Linked DNA regions of Macaca mulatta. The main gene of each other region encodes a partner of the protein of the gene in region 2 in a complex. Links are inferred from orthologs where the notes say so. Each region holds a gene or a part of one and is shown on either strand. Other genes may lie near its edges.

Evidence for each region.
Region 1: the proteins of GPR161 (region 2) and GNAL are in contact, whole or in part, in a cryo-EM structure (PDB 8KH4), measured with the Homo sapiens proteins. The link is inferred for Macaca mulatta from reciprocal best matches to the Homo sapiens genes GPR161 and GNAL. Residues at the interface, in NP_001254539.1 of Homo sapiens: Arg125, Ala128, Val129, Leu130, Pro132, Met133, Tyr135, Pro136, Met137, Ile139, Ile211, Val214, Ala215, Lys218, Ala219, Lys267, Ala268, Thr271, Trp327, Asn328, Lys329, Arg332; in NP_001135811.1 of Homo sapiens: Ala41, His43, Lys203, Val204, Phe206, Phe363, Cys366, Arg367, Asp368, Ile370, Gln371, Arg372, His374, Leu375, Gln377, Tyr378, Glu379, Leu380, Leu381.

What each region holds. Positions count from the first base shown.
Region 1 is NC_133423.1:81,840,954-81,845,284, reverse strand, and holds the start of GNAL (guanine nucleotide-binding protein G(olf) subunit alpha), read left to right. Parts: upstream 1-1,408; 5' UTR 1,409-1,683; coding exon 1,684-2,035; intron 2,036-2,216; exon of another isoform or gene 2,217-2,596; intron 2,597-4,331. UniProt on the Homo sapiens protein: Guanine nucleotide-binding protein (G protein) involved as transducer in olfactory signal transduction controlled by G protein-coupled receptors (GPCRs).
Region 2 is NC_133406.1:25,630,387-25,634,195, forward strand, and holds part of GPR161 (G-protein coupled receptor 161), read right to left. Parts: intron 1,037-3,809; coding exon 312-1,036; intron 1-311. UniProt on the Homo sapiens protein: Key negative regulator of Shh signaling, which promotes the processing of GLI3 into GLI3R during neural tube development.

The DNA.
Region 1 (4,331 bases), on a different chromosome or scaffold from region 2:
AAAGTATGCCATAATTTTAGCAAAATTTGGGGAACAATGTTAGGTCAAAAGCAGTACATGTATGCACATTTGTTATTAGCAGGACCCCCAAAAGAAATGTGAATGCCGGATCTCCAACTTCTTGATTTAAAAATGTAATCCAGGCCCCGCGCGGTGGCTCACGCCTGTAATCCCAGCACTTTGGGAGGCGAGGTGGCTGGATCCCTTGAGGTCAGGAGTTCGAGACCACCCTGGCCAACATGGTGAAATCGTCTCTACTAAAAATGCCCAGAAAAAAAAAAAAAAGAAAGAAAGAAAATGAAAAATTAGCTGGCAGTGGTGGTGGGCGCCTGTAGTCCCAGTTACTTAGGAGGCTGAGGCAGTAGAACCACTGGAACCGGGGAGGTGGAGGTTGCAGTAAGCCGTGATCGCACCACTGCACTCCAGCCTGGGCGACAGAGCCAGATTGTCTCAAAAAGAAAAAATGTAATCCAATGTAGTATTTACATCTAGTGCCAACGGGTGCAGTGTACACTGCGCTGCATGCTACGTTTCATTAAACAGCCTAATCTGGTGTGTTAATAAGAGATGTATTTAACTATCAGTTATAATATTACATGTCATTTTCCCGGAAACCAAGGAACACATCTTACAGCAGGTTATTCACAAGCTATATTAAAATGTTCACCTGTTGCAGAAGCTCTACAAGATGCTGTGCATTCAGTGGGAAATAACCGGAGACATGGGACCTCTGGCGGGCTTGTTTCTCAGCGTCATGGAGAGAGCGCACCCAGTCTGAAGGCGCATCTGCTCCTCTCTGCGCTATATTGTGGATTAAGAAAATACAGTGTACAATCTCATATTCTCATTTCAGCAAATATAAATAGTACATGGCAATTATATGTCCTCGGTTTTCATTTTTAAGGGTGGAAATTGTTGAAAATGGTGTCGTGGACCAGACTCCAGAATTGGAGATTTTGTAGAGGTCAAAGGTATAGTAGTATTAAAGTAGGGATAAAGAGTGTGCGGGCATGTGTGTAAGATAATGAGCAGAAAAGGGAGTGGCAAGGTGCAGAATCTCTGCAAGCAATGGATTGGGGAAATTGAAGGCTTTAAAGCCACGGTCGCTATTCCTGCACCCAGCTTTCCGTCCTCAGTTACTATGACCCAAGATCAAAGCCACCCTGGTTTTCTAATTGCCGCAACTGCGGCTCCAGGTGCTGACTGCACAGCCACTGCGGTACTGTCCGCAGCTGCGCGCCGGGCTCAGTCGGCATTATTTACGGTACAGAATACTCGCCCGCGCGGCGGTATTTACGGTAACGAAAGCCAGCTGTATTTACGGTAGCGAGGGCCGGACCGGCGGCGGCATTTACGGTAACGGGGCCGGGCTGGCTGAGGCCCGTCGGCTTGGCCAGCTCTGGGCGTTATCAAGTGATCTCCAGCCAAGGCGGCCGCCACCCCCTGCACCCAGCGGAAAATGCAAAATGGCCCTCTGGGGCAGTGAGGGGCCGTGGCCCTCGGCCCGGGCCTGCCGCACCCCCTTCCCGCAGCTGGCGGCCGGCAGCGCTGAACAGGGTCCGGGTGTAGCCCCCTCTCGCCCCTCCGCAGGGGCGCCGGCCTGAACTGGGCGCGGGAACCAGGCCGCCCTCGGCGCCCAGCCCGCCCTAGTCCCGCGCGCCGCCCCCGCCGTGCCGCGCCCACATGGGTCTGTGCTACAGTCTGCGGCCGCTGCTTTTCGGGGGCCCAGGGGACGACCCCTGCGCGGCCTCGGAGCCCCCGGTGCAGGACACGCAGCCCGCCCCGGCCCCGGCCCCAGTCCGGGCGGCCGCAAGGGACACGGCTCGGACCTCGCTCCCTCGGGGCGGCGGCGGGAGCCCGGTATGCGCTCGGCCCAAAGCAGACAAGCCGAAGGAGAAGCGGCAGCGCACCGAGCAGCTGAGCGCCGAGGAGCGCGAGGCGGCCAAGGAGGCGAGGAAAGTGAGCCGGGGCATCGACCGCATGCTGCGCGAGCAGAAGCGCGACCTGCAGCAGACGCACCGGCTCCTGCTGCTCGGTAGGTCCCGGTCGCGCGGTCGGCTCACGCCCCGGGGACAGCCCGCCGGGCCCGCGGGGTTGGTGGGCGCCGGGGAGCGGCGGCGGGAGGGGCTCCTGAATCCCGGGACTGGACCCGGACGGGCGGCGGGCGCGGACCGGCTGCGGAGTGTTTAAACTGGGGGGGGAATGGCTCCCCTGACCTGGCCGGGAGGACGCTACGGGCCGGTTCTGCCGCTCCCAGTGCCTTGAGCTTTTCCTGCCGCTCGCTCGCTCGCTCGCTCTCATTAACGAGCCTCTCTGGGAAGTCTCGCCCTCGACTGAGCGCCTTCCGCAGGGTCTGATCCCCGGGGATGTCTACCCTGGCCTCTCACTTCCTGCTGCACGCGGAGGCTGGCGGTCTGGTTTCAGAACACAGATGAAAGGAGATGGATAAGGCCTTTTAGCTTGACCGCAAAGCTTTTATTCCAAGCACAGTGTTGTGGGTGGGTGTGGCCTGCTACCTTTTGAGAAAGAACTTGAGCTGCACTTAGGTTTTACTGTGGAGGAAGATCAACCCCGGCTCTGGGAAGTTTGCTCCGCTGGAGAACCAGCGGCACGAGGGGGTGGCGGCCCCGGCGTGCTCTCTGTGTAACCGCGTGCAGGAGGGCGGGCGCCGAATCCCGGCGTTTTCAAGGAACCAGATGCTTGCTCTCCTAGTAGTATTTTTCAGAGCTTACCTATAGCAAGTACGTGTGCTCCTACAACAATCAGAAAACATGGTTCTATGCACTCTACCGTAGAATGAAAAAAAAAAATCACGATTTCCTGATACTACTTGTTGCCTTTTAAATTTTAAGACGAAATAATCATAATTGGGCTTTTGATGGCAATTTTGTGAGATGTAAGGAAGAATAGTCGTTCAGGTCTATGGTCTCTGCTATACATGGAAGAGAAGGTATTCCATGATTTTAGCAAGATGCCTGCATATAAATGAATGCAACTTTCATTTAAGATCTAGAAGACAATAAATACTGAGTTTGAGAGGACTTGTCCACTGCACTGCAATAATTAATAATTTAAAACAACATAAACCTAGCTGTTGTATTCTGGTGAATGAAATATCTAATTTTTAAAGCAAAGGGAAATGTTTTTGAAGAAACAACAAAAACCAGTAAATACGCAGGTTATCTCAAACAGCGACGTGGGCTGAGCAGTAGCAGAGCTGCCCCCTCCAGTGCTCACCTGCAGAATATCGCAGAGCACACGTTTCCAGAGGTCTGAGGATACAGAAGTGTAACTTTAGAATTTCATACCTTGTTAAACCGTTGTTGGTGTGTGAGGGTAAAATAAATCTTTGGATATGCAAGTATTCAAAGTATACTCTCATCCACATATATTTCTGGAAGGAAACTTAAAAAAAAATAGAGACAGCGGCAGCTCATGCCTGTATCCCAGCACTTTAAGAGGCTGAGGCTGGCGGATCACTTGATCTCGGGAGTTGAAGACCAGCCTGGGTAACATGCTAAAACCCCGTCTCTACAAAAAATACAAAAATTAGCTGGGTGGTGCGCTGGAGACCCTGTCTCCAAAATAAATAAATGAATGAATAAAAATAAATAAATAAATTGAGACAAGTCTCACTATGTTGGCCAGGCTGATCTCAAACTCCTGGTCTCAAGTGATCCACCCACGTCAGCATCCTAAAGTGCTGAGATTACAGGCATGAGCCACCATGCTCGGCCTGGAAAGACGTTAATTGGAAATTACTTCAGCCAAAATTTTTTAAATGCATTAAATTAAAATAATTCAAAAAGGGGAGAATTTTTTTAAAGGGGAGAGAGAATCATCATCTCAAGAAACTAACAAAAAACAAGAAGACAAATAGGATCAGGAGTTGTGACAACCCAACGTTGTTTTGATGTGATTATACAGTTGAACATAATTTAAAAATAATAAAATGATATGGGAAGCAGAAAATGCTTTCTATATAATAAAAATTATTAGACTATGAATCTGTGAAAAACATGGGATGAGATATGGTCTGAAGAACAGAACGGTGAGCTCTAAAGAGTCAGCTTCTTGTAACACATTTGAAAGTACGCTTTGAAGACATCATCTCATAGCCTCATAGATTTTATATATCAGCATCATAGCTAAAGTGACATAAAATCAAATGACTCACTTTTCAGGGAGAGTGTATTGTATCCTCCACCAATGATATCTACACTAAAACACATACTGTTACATGGGGTTGACGTTGTTTATCCGATTTTATATAGATTTGAGTTAAACACACAAAGGTTCTTGATTTTATTAGGCTTTAAAATGGATTTAGC
Region 2 (3,809 bases):
AGGGCCATGGCTGGGGTTTCAGAAAGCAGATTTCTAGCCCATGGTGTCCCCTGCCCAGTTCTTTTGGGATGCCTATCAGGGCACCAGGGAGCTCTGCTGGCCTGGTCAGCATGGCCGTGAACTGCTGAGTGACAGGAAGCTCCCTGGGAATCACAGCAGAGCCTCTGGAATGTTTCTTCCCACAGGAAATCTGTGCTTTGAGCCTCACCACCAGTCAGCCTGAGAACCCACCCACAAACAGGCCAGCGTGGCTGAGAGGACCACAGATTTCATCTGCCTCGGAGGGACTATCCTAACAACGCCCAAGTTACCTGTGATCCTGTTGGAAATGCTGAAGAGCCTGGAAGTCCTCTGTCGTTGCACAAACGGTTCCCGATAATACCGGTCCCCAAAGCACATGCCCAGTAGTTCTTTGCGAACTGTCTTGTTCCAGAGTCCATAGATCAGGGGGTGGCAGACAGCGCTGGCAAAGGACAGCCATGTGGCCCAAGTCTCCAGGCTCGGGGAGACAGAGCTCTTCCCCCAGAGGGCCTCAGAGGCGATGACAACCATGTAGGGGCCCCAGGTGACCATGAATGCACCGAGGACCACCAGGATGGTGATGAGGGCTTTGCACTGGTTGGCCGAGTAGACCACACCCTGAAAGGCGTTCCTCCTGCTGCCTGAAGAGGAGGTGGAGGTGCTGGAGTTCTTCCTCCCGGTCCTCTGAGCATCCTCCTCCACGATGACGACTGTGCCACAGTGCACCTTGCGTGCCTTGACCCTGGCCACGCGGAAGATGAAGCCGTAGCACACCAGCATGACCAGAAAGGGGAATAGGGCACACCAGATCTGCCAGAAGGCCGTGTAGCCAGGCTCCCGGTGCCAAGCAGCCACACACATCCATTTGAACTCGTCAAACTCCACAGACGACCAACCAAACAGGGGTGGCAGGCAGCCGATAAGTGCATGAAGCCAGATGTAGACAAGTGCCATCACAGCCCGGTTCCCTGTGATTTTCATGGGGTACACCATGGGGTACAGGACAGCATAGTAGCTAGAAAAGGGATGGAGGGAGGCAAGAGAGAGAAGTCAGCAGAGAGAAAACTGCTGCTTTCCTGCGTCAGGGGCTCCCATGACTGGCCTGGATGTTTCTAAAAGCAGCACCTTCCCCCAGGTCTCCCCAGACAAGTTACAAAGACCACATCATGTTCCACAGCTCTGCAGAGCCCTTTACCAGAGAAGAGCTCAACACCGGCAAGACACAGAGCTCGAACCTTCCTGTTTCCAAGTCACCACACCAGAGCCCACTCATATTTGGGGGTGTGGCCAGTCTTGAGATACCTACAGGAGTCCTAAGGGATTATGCATTGGGCCACATCAGTTCTGCTGCTGCTGACATTAATCGATTCAGATCAATTTTCAGAGGGATCATCAGAACCAGAATGATGTTGAAGGACTATGGGCTTCATTCAATCAATGGACATTTACCAAAGGCTTGCAATGTGCCAAGCACTGTGCTATGTCCTGGAAATGCAGTTGAGAAGATGTGAGGGAGGCAGACACCTGAGCCAACTATCACGGCCTGGAGTGGTAAGGGCCACATTGAGTCCTCACAGCAACCATGAGCGTGGGTATGTCATTATCTTCATTTTACAGATGAGGAAATTAAAGCAGGGAAAGGCTAAATAATGCACCCCAGACCCATGGGAGAAAGACATAAACCCAGGCAATCTGACTCTACAATCCCCAGTGCACACGCCCAGCAATTCTGTGTAAGCCTTCTTGTTCCACAGTCAAGGGGGCGGTTCCAAATCACTCAGTGCTGCCAGGAAGGAGGTGGGCCAGGAGTGCTATCAATTCAAACTGGCAGGCTTCCGGTCCAGCACAGAAGGTCACAGCAGGCTCCTGATGCAGGTGATGCTCCAGACCCAGGTCTCACAGCGTTGGAGGCACTGACCAGGACCACCCCAGGCAGAAAGCTAGCCTGGTGGGGTATGGCGATGTGAGTGAGCACCATCTCAGAGGGGAGGCTACAGGGAGCTCCACCTGGCAGGACAGAGAGTGCAGGATGGAGAGAGGAGGAGAGAAGCAGGCCGGGTGGGCATGGCCGGGGCATGTAGGCCCAGCTAAGGACTGGCCCTTTAACTGGAAAGGGTGGGAGGACTTAGACCACAGGGCTGAAAGTCAGCCACCACCCTCCCAACCCAGACATTTTATCCAAAGGAAATAGGATGTTCCCATGGGGGCAACATGTGGAAGGGACGGGTTGCCACACTGATGCCGCCTGGCACAGGCAGGACGTTGGGAAATGACTGTGGCTACGTGCCTCACACATCGCCTGGGAAGCCAGCTCCACCACAGGGACCGCCCTGAGTCACCCTTGGGCCCCAGCAGCTGAACTGCCACGTGCTAACTGGAGGTGATGCCTCCTTGGTCTTCCTAAGCAGGGGTGAGCCTGGGGCTGCTCTGAGCTGAGCCTTGAGCCCAGGCCAGGATCTAGCCTGGAAAGAGAGCATTTCCAGCTGTGGGGCCTGAGGAGAAGATTGCGCAGTGATTAGGATGTCGATTACAGAATCACTGCACAGTGGCTGGGTAAGGTGATTACTGTCTTTCACTGCTATCTGGGCTTGCATCTTGCAAAGGCCATGCAGCCCAAGGGAAAAAGCATGCCTTTGGAGCTGGAAATTCAAGTTCAGATGGAAGCTCTGATGTCTACTAGCTGTGTGACCTTAGCCAGCTGATGAACCTCTCAGAGCTTCAGTTCCCTCATCTAGAAAACGGGAATTGTGGCACCCACATCACAGGTCTGCTCCTAGGAACGAATGAGGAAGAGCATGGAAAAGGCCCGGATGGTGCCTACCCTTCAATGGGGGACTGGCCATCGACCTTTCCCCCATCCTCCTTGAGGACAAAAGCCCTACACTGCTCCTGCTCCTGCGATGACCCCCACGGGACACTGGCCCTTCTGAGCCCTGGGGGGTGAGCAGGCCACACGGTAGTCTCCTTCCCGTTGTGGGTGGCCTGCTGAGACCTGGACCTGTCTGACATCATGCTGGCAAATGAAATGTGAGGGGGTTGCTAGGGTGGGACTGCGGGGAGGGGAGCAGTGGGTCTAGGAAGGTTTCCTTCACTTTTCAAAAGAAACAAGGCAGAGATTTCTACTTTTCTCTGTCCCTTTACAGAGCATGCAGACACTTCACCCTCAGTCACCTCGGGAGTGTACAGCCGGCTGTGGGAGCCAGGCCTGGTGAATGTTCACCATAGGCCTCCTTCCACCAACCCTGTTTGGAGGCCATAAAAATGATTACAATTCATGTGCTGTCCTCTGCCAGATTTCCTTCTGGCTCTTCTCAACACCCAGTTATTATTATTACTTTATGGCAAGACTTCTCATTTATTGTAACAAATGGTACCCATATCACTCACTGACTGAGGTTCAGGCACAGGCAGTTCCAGTGTGACATGACACTGATTTCTCCCAGCTGCATCCTGAGTGCCATCGGGAAGCTGGGGCAGTGAAGCTGGGTGCTGGCTCAGTCAAGGTCAGCCTCCTACAGGCAGAGAAGCCCCACAGGCACAGCCCTGCCCATGTACAGCCATGTCCTCCAGGGGTTTTGTTTTTAAGTATGTTTTTGATGGGGGTGGGAGGATAAAAGGTAGGTACAATGAAATGCACGTATCTACACCTCTACCAAGATACAGAACATTCCATCCAGGCGCAATGGCTCACATCTTGTAATCTCAGCACTTTGGGAGTCCAAGATAGGAGGATTACTTGAAGCCAGGAGTTTGAGACCAGACTGGGCAACATAGGGAGACCCATCTCT